Callithrix jacchus: one gene and its partners. The protein of the gene in region 3 purifies or fractionates together with the protein of the main gene of each other region. This does not show direct contact. Links are inferred from orthologs where the notes say so. Each region holds a gene or a part of one and is shown on either strand. Other genes may lie near its edges. The genes, in order: CAPNS1, CAST and CAPN1.

What was found.
Region 1: the proteins of CAPN1 (region 3) and CAPNS1 purify together in Homo sapiens (co-immunoprecipitation; 4 studies listed by BioGRID and IntAct, counting the BioPlex papers as one, with this or other methods). This does not show direct contact. The link is inferred for Callithrix jacchus from reciprocal best matches to the Homo sapiens genes CAPN1 and CAPNS1.
Region 2: the proteins of CAPN1 (region 3) and CAST purify together in Homo sapiens (co-immunoprecipitation; 4 studies listed by BioGRID and IntAct, counting the BioPlex papers as one, with this or other methods). This does not show direct contact. The link is inferred for Callithrix jacchus from reciprocal best matches to the Homo sapiens genes CAPN1 and CAST.

The regions. Positions count from the first base shown.
Region 1 is NC_133523.1:32,291,169-32,295,383, forward strand, and holds the start of CAPNS1 (calpain small subunit 1), read left to right. Parts: upstream 1-1,400; 5' UTR 1,401-1,494; intron 1,495-2,294; 5' UTR 2,295-2,309; coding exon 2,310-2,521; intron 2,522-2,875; exon of another isoform or gene 2,876-2,914; coding exon of another isoform or gene 2,915-2,937; intron 2,938-3,577; coding exon 3,578-3,611; intron 3,612-3,934; coding exon 3,935-4,024; intron 4,025-4,178; coding exon 4,179-4,215. UniProt on the Homo sapiens protein: Regulatory subunit of the calcium-regulated non-lysosomal thiol-protease which catalyzes limited proteolysis of substrates involved in cytoskeletal remodeling and signal transduction. Essential for embryonic development.
Region 2 is NC_133503.1:113,870,533-113,874,048, reverse strand, and holds part of CAST (calpastatin), read left to right. Parts: intron 1-1,161; coding exon 1,162-1,242; intron 1,243-1,871; coding exon 1,872-1,910; intron 1,911-2,398; coding exon 2,399-2,491; intron 2,492-2,627; coding exon 2,628-2,714; intron 2,715-3,516.
Region 3 is NC_133511.1:122,258,862-122,262,903, reverse strand, and holds the start of CAPN1 (calpain-1 catalytic subunit), read right to left. Parts: upstream 2,813-4,042; 5' UTR 2,809-2,812; coding exon 2,768-2,808; intron 2,566-2,767; coding exon 2,298-2,565; intron 2,138-2,297; coding exon 2,068-2,137; intron 1,792-2,067; coding exon 1,673-1,791; intron 1-1,672. UniProt on the Homo sapiens protein: Calcium-regulated non-lysosomal thiol-protease which catalyzes limited proteolysis of substrates involved in cytoskeletal remodeling and signal transduction. Proteolytically cleaves CTBP1 at 'Asn-375', 'Gly-387' and 'His-409'.

The DNA of each region.
Region 1 (4,215 bases), on a different chromosome or scaffold from region 3:
TGGAGATTACAGGCGTGAGCCACCGTGCCCAGTTGTTGCTTAATTTCTTTTGTAAATCAGTAGTATTCCTGCAGATATCATTTAATTTTGATAGGGGCCTAGTGGTATGGAGCAACCCATGTTCCCATTTTACAGATGAGAAAAATCGCTGCTCAAGAACATCAAGTCACTCTTTTGGGGTATGCAGTTATTACAGGCACAGCCAGGATTCAACTCAAGCCTAGCCAGCCTCCAGGATAGGGGCTAAGAGTCAGCCAGCTTGCCTGGGGGCCAGATTTAGCTCCCCGCCAGAGTCCTGAAAAAGTACTAAACACGGTTGTGTGCTATAGCTCACGCCTGTAATCTGAGCACTTTGGGAGGCCAAGGCAAGTGGATCCCCTAAGGTCAGAAATTTGAGATCAGCCTGACCAACGGGGTTTCGCCATGTTGGTCATGATTCGCCATGAATCTCGCTGTCTCCCAGGCTGGAGTGCACATGGCGTGATCTTGGCTCACTGCAACCTGTGCCTCCCCAGTTCAAGCGGTTCTCTTGCTTCAGCCTCCTGAGTAGCTGGGATTACAGGCATGTACCACCACGCCCAGCTAATTTTTTGTATTTTTTTTTTAGTAGAGACCGGGTTTCACTATGTTGGCCAGGATGGTCTCGATCTCTTGACCTCGTGATCCACCCCCATCGGCCTCCCAAAGTGCTGGGATTACAAGCGTGAGCCACTGCACCTGGCCATATTTTTTAAGTAAATAAAGAAACCAGGCCGTGCCCAAAGGAATCTTCCTGTGTCTGGGGGCTTTTGAGACTGGCATACAGAGGATACCCTTTGGGCTGGTCCAGCAAACAACGATTCTGGTGGCCCCTGACTGGGGCGGGGGCGTGGTAAGGAGAGCTTGGAAGGAGGCGCAGGCCCTGCCTGCGGTTTGACTGCCATCCGTGCTGCTGCAGGCACCCGGAAAGGCAGTCCAGCTTAAGTCCTCGCCAAAGACTCGAGCGTACGAGCCAAACCATACTCCAGGCCTCCAGGAGCTGTTTGTCGCGACAAGACCTGGAGAGGGCCGTGCGGAGTTCCTTAGTGAGTGGACCGAAAACCGCCACTCTGGAAGGGTATAGGCAGGCCCTGGGGCGAAAATTCACATTACGACACTGGGAGGGGGCGGGTCCCCTCCGAGTTCTAGTCCGCTGGCGCCTCAACCCAGACTTGAGGGGTGTGGTTCAGACCCCAGCCTACCGAGTCAGAGCGAGTTTAGGACCTCCAGAGCTGGAAACGCGCCGGGAGGAGTCCAGCCAGATTCGCGTTCCGCTAGCCTCGGCGGGTCGGGGAGCGCATGCGCAGTTTCCACTTCGGCTCTAGGACCGCGCGGGCAACTGCGGGGCCGCGGTGCAGAGTCTGACCGGAGAGTTGCGTCCTGAGTCACCGGCCCCGCCCTTCGGAGCCGGACGCAGCGGGAGGCCCGGGAGCGGCAGTGGAACGGACCCCACGGGACCTCCGGACCTGTGCGGTGGTAAGCGCCCGGCCCGTACCCTCTCCCCACCCTGCAATTCCGGCCCTGGCGGTCCCCAGACCCGGCGAGACCGTGAAGTCTCGGCCTCGGGTCCCCAGATCCATGGTCTCATATTCAAACCCCAGACATGTTCGACCCCCTTTTATGCCGTCCCGGGGACCTTTCCCCACCCTCTGTCTCATGATCCAAAATGCAGGCCCATAGATTTCCGAGATACCCCTTGAATTCTTCCTTGGTGCGTTCTGAACCGCAATCGTAGATCTGTGCCCCCAGTTCCAGCGGGGGACCCCATTATCCGGGACCCTAGGGATCACAGCCACGATCTTAGACCCGAGCCCACAGACCCAAAGGTGACACTGGAATCCTGCCGCTGGGAACATCTAAATTCTCAAGCCCGCATTTGGGATTTCCTAAACCCCGCCCTGGGGCCCTTTAGGCCGTGGATGTTTGCTCCGCGCCCATGACCCGCCAGCGACCTCTCCATTCAGTTCCGTCGGGCACGCCTTACACCAACTTGGAGTCCCCACCAAGAGGACCCCCACCAGACCCGCACCCTCCCCTTAACGCGTGCACTCAGCCCAGGCTCCCTCAAGCCCCACGGATGCCTTTTAGACCCCAGGAGGTTGCAAACCTGATTCCCCGTTCCTGCCCCACCCATCCGAGGACAATTCTCCCTCGCAGGCTCAGACCCCCACCGGGGGCCTCAGATTCCTCCTGCTAGTCCAGCTGCCGGAAATGCGTGTTTGAGGGAAGGGTGTGGGCTCAGGACGACGCAACCACTAGTCCCTTTTTTCCCCCAGCAGTGAGTCGCAGCCATGTTCCTGGTTAACTCGTTCTTGAAGGGCGGCGGCGGCAGCGGCGGCGGGGGAGGCGGGGGCCTGGGTGGGGGCCTGGGGAATGTACTTGGAGGCCTGATCAGCGGGGCCGGGGGCGGCGGCGGCGGCGGCGGTGGAGGCGGAGGCGGTGGAGGCGGCGGTGGCGGTGGAACGGCCATGCGCATCCTAGGCGGCGTTATCAGCGCCATCAGGTGAGGTGGGGACTATTGAAGGGGCGGGGCCTGTACGCGGGAGGAGCCTCAGAAGGGGCGGGGCCTGGGGAGGAGCGTAATTTAACTAGACTAGAATAGAATTAACCTGAGGCCGACCTGGGTACCTGAATTAGGCCGGGGTGGCCTGGTTTGGGAGTCCTATAAGAGGGTGGACCCCAGTGAAGGTGATACCAGTCCTTGGGGGCAGGACTTGATATGGGGGTGGTCTGATTGTGTGGATCCAGGACAATGTGGTCCTCAGGGCACTGATCTGGAGTTTTGGGGGCGGGGCTTATGGATCTGGGCCCGGCCTGTATTGGCTACCCTGGAAACGAACGTTAAAGGGGCGGAGCCAATGCGTCTGAGTGACATTTTACGGACGGAGCTTGACTTATGAGTGCGGTGAGAGGTTTTAGGTGGGTTAATGAGGATGTGAGCCCAGGAGAAACCAAGGCCTAATGAGATAGGAGAAATAGCCCAAAATGGGCTGGGCCTGCTGGAAACTGGCTGGATTCATGTAGAAAAATGTCCTGATAGGGGTAGGGCAGGTTTGCCTAATTAGCCATGGCCACTTAACAATGATCCCTTGAAGGGGCGGGGACCTGTGGTTGGATGTTGGGAAGATAGCCATTTAAGAAGAGGGCCATGGAGTAGGGTCTTGGACAGATGGCACCTAAGGAGGATGAGGCCTTGGGAAGCTGGGGCAGAGCCTCTATAAAGTGAGCTCTCCAAGGGGCAGGGTTTGTTGATTCTGTGTGGGATTTTTAGGTCGAGGGTGGCCAAGATGGCTGGAATCTGCCCTTGGGTAGGTATGCCTGGCAGGAGTGGAGCCTCCCAGGGGACTGGTCTCTAGGTTTCCTCGAGGGTAGGGTTGGCCTGATGAAAGGAGAAGGGGGGCAGGACCAGGGCAGGGTGGATTAGGACAGGTGAAGGCAAGAACAGGTAAGGGGCACAGCAACCAAGTAAGGAAGGTGGCCTCGGGGCCAATGGTTCTGCCCCTCTGCCCGTTGGAGGCCCCGCCCCAGGCGCTAACCCCTCCCCCTTATCTCTTCGCAGCGAGGCGGCTGCGCAGTATAACCCGGAGCCCCCGGTAAGCCCCCTCTGCAGCCAGCCAAACTTCTCCCTCCAAGGCCTCTTCGAGGTCCCATCCCTGTACCTGTAGGGAAGCCCCACCTTCCACCACTTCTTGTGACATTCCTCTGCCAGTTCTTCCCGGGCCATGTCCGCAGCTTCGCCATGGGGTTTAGCCATCCCTGACATACACACTCCCCATTCGCTGCCACCCCTCATTCTTTTTCTCATCAAGCCACCCAGCCCACTATGACTTCCCCACCCAGGGTGCCTCAATGTGAGGAGCTGTCCTGGGCGGGTCCCCTACCCCCACCAGCTCTGAGCTCTCCTCCCTCTCTGCAGCCTCCACGCACACATTACTCCAACATTGAGGCCAACGAAAGTGAGGAGGTCCGACAGTTCCGGAGACTCTTTGCCCAGCTGGCTGGAGATGTAAGTAACCTGGGGTCCCTGGCCCCGTGCTAACCCTTCCATCCCTCCCATCCCTTCCCTTGTGGCTGTGTAACAATCCCAATGTTCCCATTCTCCACGACATTTTCAGACCCCTTTCAGTCACCCCTGACCTCCCCCTAACTTCCGCCTGCAGGACATGGAGGTCAGTGCCACAGAACTCATGAACATTC
Region 2 (3,516 bases), on a different chromosome or scaffold from region 3:
GAGAACTGCTTGAACCCTGGAGGTGGAGGTCGCAGTGAGCGCGGACCTTGCCATTATACTCTAGCCTAGGCAACAAGAACGAAACTCTGTCTCAAAAAATAAAAATAAATAAAAAGATATGCCATAGACTAGACAAAAATATTTTATAACAGATATAACAAAAGATTTGTTTCTAGAATTTATAAAGAATTAAAAACAAAAACGCAACCCAATGGAAAATTGGGAGAAAACTTGACTGGCCAATAAACGAGTAAATGGAACTCTCTCTAGAAATTAGGAGAATGATATTAAAACATGGAATTAACACTACTTTGCATATATGAGATTAGCAAAAGTGTGAAAGTCTGACAATTCCTGTAGCTTTCCTATAGCTGGTGGGTGTTCATGATGAGTATTCCCTTCAACCAGTAAGTCCACCTCTAGGGAGTTTCCCAGAAAAGAGCCTTGCCCATGTGTGCAAGGAGTTACAAGAAATGGTCAAAAGTTTGGAAACATAAAATTCAGTGATTTATAGTGGTTAAAATGGATTATTCATCTATCAACATGGATACATAATAAAAACATAATTTTGAATAAAAATAATGCAGACTGGTATGTAGAATATTATACCATTTATATAACATTGGAAAATAAGGAAAGTAATGCTGGAAATTGTTTATGGATACCTACGTATGTAGAAATTGTTCTCAAATAACTAAATTGACATGCTAAAGTTCAAGATGGTGACTATTTCTGATTAACAAGGAAAGAGAATTAGGTTTCAGAATGTTAAACAGAAGACATCTACTCTATCTGTGGTTTTGTTTTCTCAGAAATTACAAATCTGATACAGTTGGGTATTGGATTATACAGAAGCTCGTTATCTTATTAACTATTCTTTTGTATCAATTGGAAACATTAGATAATGAAAGCATTTGAAAGCAAAATGTATTTAGCAATCAACTTTAGTATTTTGAATAGTTTCTAGCATTACGTGAGGTAAGCCAATTAAATATGGGTGTTTGTGTAAACTTAGAAATTTAGTTATGTAAAGTATTGGCTTCTTAATGATTTATACTTCCATAAATTAATAATGGAATAGTGTTTTAGTTTCAGAATATGCATATAACATTCTCAGCTAATTAATTACGTATTGTCCCCATGTGTATGATTTTGTTCCAGGATCCAATGAGCTCCACCTACATAGAGGAATTGGGTAAAAGAGAAGTCACAATTCCACCAAAATATAGGGAACTCTTGGCTGTAAGTAAATAACCATTTACTTTTATTTCACTTTCCTTTTTAGAATATAATTTTGTATTAGTATTTTCACAATGTTTAAAAGTTAGAAAATATAATAGTGCATGTGAAATTGTCATTACTATGAAGCTCACTGTATCGATTGGCTGGGGCTGCTGTAACCAAGTACCACAGACCAGGGATATAAACAAGAGATTGATTGTCACACAGTTCTGGAGGCTGGAAGTCTAGAATCAAGGTGTCAGCAGGGCTGGGTCCCTTGAGGGCTGTGAGGGAAAGGTATCTTCAGAGCCTCTGTTTGGCTTATAGATGGGCATCTTCCCTCTGCGTCTCCTCATACCGTCTTCCTTCTGTGTCTCTGTGCGTATCTCTGGGTCCAAATTTCTCCTTTTTATAAGGACATGCATCATCATATTGGAGTAGGGCCCACCCTAATTACTTCACCTTTACTTGGTTATTTCTATAAAAAATAAATCTGAAAATCAGGTCTCGTTCTGAGGTACTGGGGTTAGGACTTCAACATATAAATCTGGAATGAGGGGCACAATTCAGCCCACAACAAGAAATACATTTGGCCAATCTTAAGGATTGAGTCCACCTTCTCAACGTCATCAAATTGATATTTGTTTCAGAAAAAGGAAGGGATCAGAGGGCCTCCTCCAGACTCTTCGGTGAGTTTACATAAATGTCTTCTGATCTAAATTAATATTTTTTATATTTTTGATTAAGGGAACAGGGCTATCAATTCTGTATTTGAGGATTATGACTTAACTCGTCTCCAAATCAAATGGAGTTGCTGTGTGTTCAGAGAAAGGGGTTGGTGTGAGTGTTGTCTCAGTGCTCCTTAGTCTCATAAGTAGGGTTTCTGAGGGGAAGGGGAATGAAAGCAAGAAAGTATTAGGATAGAATGCATGTTCATAATGATAGAATGAGAATACTCTAACATGTAGCTCCTTTAGAAAGGAGGAAGTGGAAAATAATACTTAGCGAGTAGCCACTGTCTTCAGAACATACACTTTGATCTCTGTTGTTGCATTAACACATCTCATTTGGTAGCAAAGGAATCGCAAAAGTGATTCCTTCATTTGCTAGGTTCGCAATCCATTCTTCCCCTTGAGTGGTTTCCATAAGTCACTCATCATTGTGCCTGTTTCTTTAGAAACCCATGGGGCCAGATGATGCTATAGATGCCTTGTCATCCGACTTCACCTGTGGGTCGCCTACAGCTGCTGGAAAGAAAACTGAAAAGGAGGTATTGTTTTTACTGTTGTTAAGGGAAACTTGTTAGAAACTGTTAAACTTTAAAAGAATAGTAACTTTTTAGTTCTGGCTGTTACAGTTAAACTTTCCTCATCTGTCAATCTAATCTTTTGTATTTTATTTTTCAGAAATCTACAGAAGTTTTAAAAGCTCAGTCAGCAGGTATAATCAAAAGTGCTGCTCCACCCCAAGAGAAGAAAAGAAAGGTGGAAAAGGTATAGGCACAGTCTACCTGACAGCAGTTGCTTTCCTGAGCCTGATCTGGCTCATTCAGGATACTGCCAGTAGCACATTACGTGTGATGAGAAGCCATGATCTTTTCCCTCTTGGGTCTGTCTGGAATGCTGAAGCCAATGAGGGTTCTATTGTTCATCTCCAGGCAAGCCTTGTGTGTTTCTTTTTTTTTTGAGATGGAGTTTCGCTCTTGTTACCCAGGCTGGAGTGCAATGGCGCGATCTCAGCTCACCGCAACCTCCACCTCCTGGGTTCAAGCAATTCTCCTGCCTCAGCCTCCTGAGTAGCTGGGATTACAGGCCCGCGCCACCATGCCCAGCTAATTTTTTGTATTTTTAGTAGAGGCGGGGTTTCATCATGTTGACCAAGATGGTCTCGATCTCTTGACCTCATGATCCACCTGCCTTGGCCTCCCAAAGTGCTGGGATTACAGGCTTGAGCCACCGCGCCTGGCCCCTTGTGTGTTTCTACAACTGCTTGCGGATGATTTTAGCACAGTTGTCAAAATGGTCATGATCCAAGACCATCTCACCATGATACAGAGAAGGGCAGAAACCAGAGAAATTGAACTGGCACTCTCGGAACAAGAAACCTTCAAGTTTGATTTTCTTTTTTCTTTTTTTTGAGATGGAATCTCGCTCTATCACCCAGGCAGAGTGCTGCAGTGCAATCTCGGTTCACTGCAACCTCTGCCTCCCGGGTTCAAGCAATTCTTTGCCTCAGCCTTCCAAGTAACTAGGATTACAGGTCCTGCCACCACGCCCGGCTAATTTTTGTATTTTT
Region 3 (4,042 bases):
GGTTTTGGCTGTGTTTGAGCCTCCATTCTTCGTGTAGCCTCAGGATGGTATATAAGCTTTGTACCATTGCTGGGCTGGCGTGATCACTCTGTGGTTCCCAACCCCACCCTGCAGGCTAGTCAATTTGTATGCCATTTCTCCTACTAACCTCCTTTTGGGAGTTGATTTTTCAGTGAACCTTCAGAGGGCTAAGAGATGCTTTCCCTTGCCTGTATAGTATATACTAGATATACACATATATGCTATATACTAATACATGCATACCACATATAGATTAGAGATGTGTATACCTGATATGTACATGTATGGTCGAGATATACTAGATACATGATCCTGGGAAAGGTATCACCTCTGAGCCTCAGTTTCCCTATCCATAAAAAGGAGCAGCAGCACCTTCTTCAAAGAAGACTTAAACAAGAGCACACCAGCAAAGCCTTTCGTGAGTCACTGAACAAACAGGGTGGGAAAGCTCTCAGGCCTGGGCTTTCTGGAACTATCTCCCTTTTAGGCCATGGCCTCCTAGCTCTTCCCTCCCTATTCTAGGGGGTTAGGGGACACCCATGTCATTGGATGAGGAGTGAAAATGTGGCATCCAGACCCTACAGCCACAAGGTGAGCAGGACTAGTTCTCGCAATCACAGGCTTTGTTTCAGAGATGCCACAAGAGGCAGGTTTCCTAGGGCAGGGGCAGGGCCCAAGGCATCTGGGGTCAGAAGCAACTAAGGACTCCAGGTACTATCTGAGGGGTCAGGGCCAGGACAACAGGGGAGGAGAGGAGGCAGCCGGGAGCCCAGGTAGCAGGAACCCAGGTTGCAAAGTGGGTGGGTGGCAGGTACAGAACTGGCCAATCAGAGACTAGGGAGAAGTGAACTGGAGGAGCGAGGGAAGGGGGCAGGGAAGGGGGCAAGGCTGCGCCCCAGCAGACCACAGACCACAGCAGGTGGGTGTGGTGCTGGGCCAAAGTGGGTCCACACTGTGGGTTCTGCACCTTGGGTTCTGAGGGCCACCTCCACCCACACGTCAGGCAAGGACGGAATAGGATAAGGGGCTCTCTAACCAGGCAGAAGGAGGGGACACCCAGGACACCTTCGGGCAGGGCTGGGGCCTCCAAGGCCTGAGGGTCTCATCAGGGGTTGCTGGGCATGTCCCTCCCAATGGCAGCTCATTGAGAATTGATTGGTGTGACTTGAAAAATGGGCCCTGGGCACACCATCAGAAGAAGCTGGTTTCCATAGACTTAATCCCAAGTCTTTCTTTTCTGCTGAGGTCAGCCAGACCTTGCCAAAGTGCAGGAGGATTGGGGGATGGGGGGATGGGAGGCTTGACAGGTGCAGAAGGCCACACGTGCTGATGTTTTCCCCAGGGAGCACTCCTTTCTCAGATGGGGCAACTGAGACCGGCCCCGGAGAGGAGCGAAATTTGTCCCACAGAATGTAACACAAAAGTCTTTCTGTTCTTTCAAGCACTTTCCACCTGATACATACCATCACCAAGGAAAACTGCCAGCCCAAATACCTGCCCAGCCCAGTTACTTCACACATGACAGACCCCAGATGGCACTGAGAGGTCAAATACCTGTTGGAGGGAGGGCTGGCCCCAAAGGGTGTGGCCCTAACTCCGGTCCACATCTCCCCTAGTGCCTGCTGCCCCCCCTCCCCAGGTGGGCGCTCACCTGGAAATGGAAGATGCCGGCATAGCCATCCTGGAAGCTCTGGCCATGCGGAACCACTCGGTGTAGGAGGTTGTCGTTGAGAGTGAGGGAGGCGATGGCCGCCAGGAGCCAGCAGTCCCCTGGGGCAGGATGAACGCATATCAGTCTGCTCTACCCACCTGCCACAGGGGGGAAGTGGGTGCTCATGCTGGGGAGAATCTGGGGTTCCTTGGCCAGAGTGCCATTTAACTCCGCTAAGCTTGCAGAAAAGAATCTAGGCAAACCAGCCCAGCACTGATAGCCAGAGCCTGCCTGGGCTTGCAGGAGGGAGGAGTTGGGGCAGAGCCTGAAGGAGCGGGAATGGGGAACTACTGTGGAAAAAACACCCGGGACCCCACCCCCCCCTGGGGGCTTACCCAGTGCTCCCTGGCAGATGTCTGTGCGGGTGGCTCCATCCACGATGAACTGGGGGTTTGACAGCAGCTCCTACGAGAGAGCCAGAGTCCTGTCCCTGGCCCAGCACCTCCCAGAAACTGGCACCCGGCCACCCCAGACCCCATTCCCCACCAGGGATATGGACTGTCATTCCTACTCCTCATCCAGGATCTGGGCTCAGCTGAGTCCCACCCCAGATGGCCCCTCTCACCGTGGGCCGCTTCCACTTGATGCCATAGGTCTTGGAGGAATTGGGACCCAGCTCCTTGAAACCCAGGCTCTGGGGCACAGGAGGGAAGGCCTCATCACGGAAGAGGGTCCCACTCTGCAGGCATCGTGCCCGCAGCTGCTCATAATCCTGGCCCAGGTACTTGATGGCATTCTCATGGCGGCCCAGGCCCAGCTCCTTGGCCCGCTGCTTCTGCACTTGGGCTGACACCCCGGTGCAGTACACGGGCGTGATGATCTCCTCCGCCATCCTGCGGGAGAGATGGGCCTGCTCAGAACCCAGGCCTTCCCAAGTCTAGAACCTGGGCTCCTGCCTGCAAGCGTGGCTGTCCTGCCCCTGCTTATCAATCCCCAGACCTGGAGTTTCCTGCCTTACTGATCCCCTCACAAATGCAGGGTTTCCAGCCACCTCTCGGTACTCCCAGTGAATCCAGGAAAGGGGTTTCCCAGTACCCTGGCGAGCCAGCCACCACCTCTCCTTGCCTAGATCCCATTGTCAGGGGCTTGCAGCTCTGTGGTGAGCCAGCAGCAGGTCAGATGGGGCAGGGCGGAGCCTCCAGACAGCACAGGAACTGGGCAGGTGGGACACGGCAGGGCAGGCCTCTTTGATCCTGTTCACAGGCCTGCAACCCCCTCCCCAAACTAGCCACGCTCCTTGTGCACCGGACCCTTGCCGTGGGCTGAAAACCCCACAGTTGGGGTCCCCCCTCCTCAGGCCCTCGCAGCAGGCTCCATTATCAGAGCTAGAGGGACCCAGCCCAGCCCCTGGGGACAGCGGTGAGCCAGGCTGGGACTGGCGCCTGAACTGTGCCGCTCGACAGCCCCCGCCCCTGCCCCAAGCACGCAGAGGGCCCCGAGAAGGGGCCGAGCTGGGGCAGCCCCTCAGCCCGGGAGCAGTGGCCGGGGTCAAGGAATCCCGGCTCGGCACCCAGCTTCTTACCTGGAGGAGTACTGTTTGGGGGTCGCTGCGGTCCCTAGGGCTGGCTTCCCGGTGGCAGCTCAGGGCAGGGCCCAACCAGGAAGAGGGCTCCTCCCCGCCCTCCGCCCTCCCTCTCTCCTTCTCCTCCTCCTTCTCCTCCCGGGGATCCCACCCCGCTTCCTCTCGGCTCCCCCTAATCTCTCCGGCACCGTCTCTGACTATCTCTTACGGTGTCTTCCCGCCCCTCCCTCCGCAGGCCGGGGGCCAATTCCGCGAGAGGACAAATTAGTAAAAGGCAGCGCAGTCCCCGGGGAGGGGCCAGCGCGGGTGGGGCCAGGGCGCGGACGGAAGGGCGCCGCGGGACGGGGAGGGGGTGGGGGAGGGCCTGGCAGGGGGTATTTTTAACCAGGGGCAGCAGCTCGAGTTGCAGGGCCGGGCTGCCACACCCCACGCGAGCCCCGCCGGGCATTCCCCGGTGATCAGACGGCGGCGCCGCCTCCCGCAGCCCCGGGCCCTCCCCGTCCCCCACGCCGTCCCCTGCGCCCCTCGCTCCGCGCTGCCGCAGCTGTTCCCGCCGCTCCCAGCCAGCCCCGGCGCGAGGCCGAGATTACCTCGGGCTGCGGCAGCTGCTCCAAGGAGGGGCCGGGCTGGCGGCGAGCAGACCCCTGCCGGACACTCCGCAAACGGCAACCCAACCCGCGGGGCCGCGCCTCTCCCCGCCCCCACCCCAGGGGAAACGCGAGGGGACCGGGCTCGCTGCGTGACCTTGGGTAAGTCCCTGCCGCTCTCCCCCAAGCTCTCAGCCCACC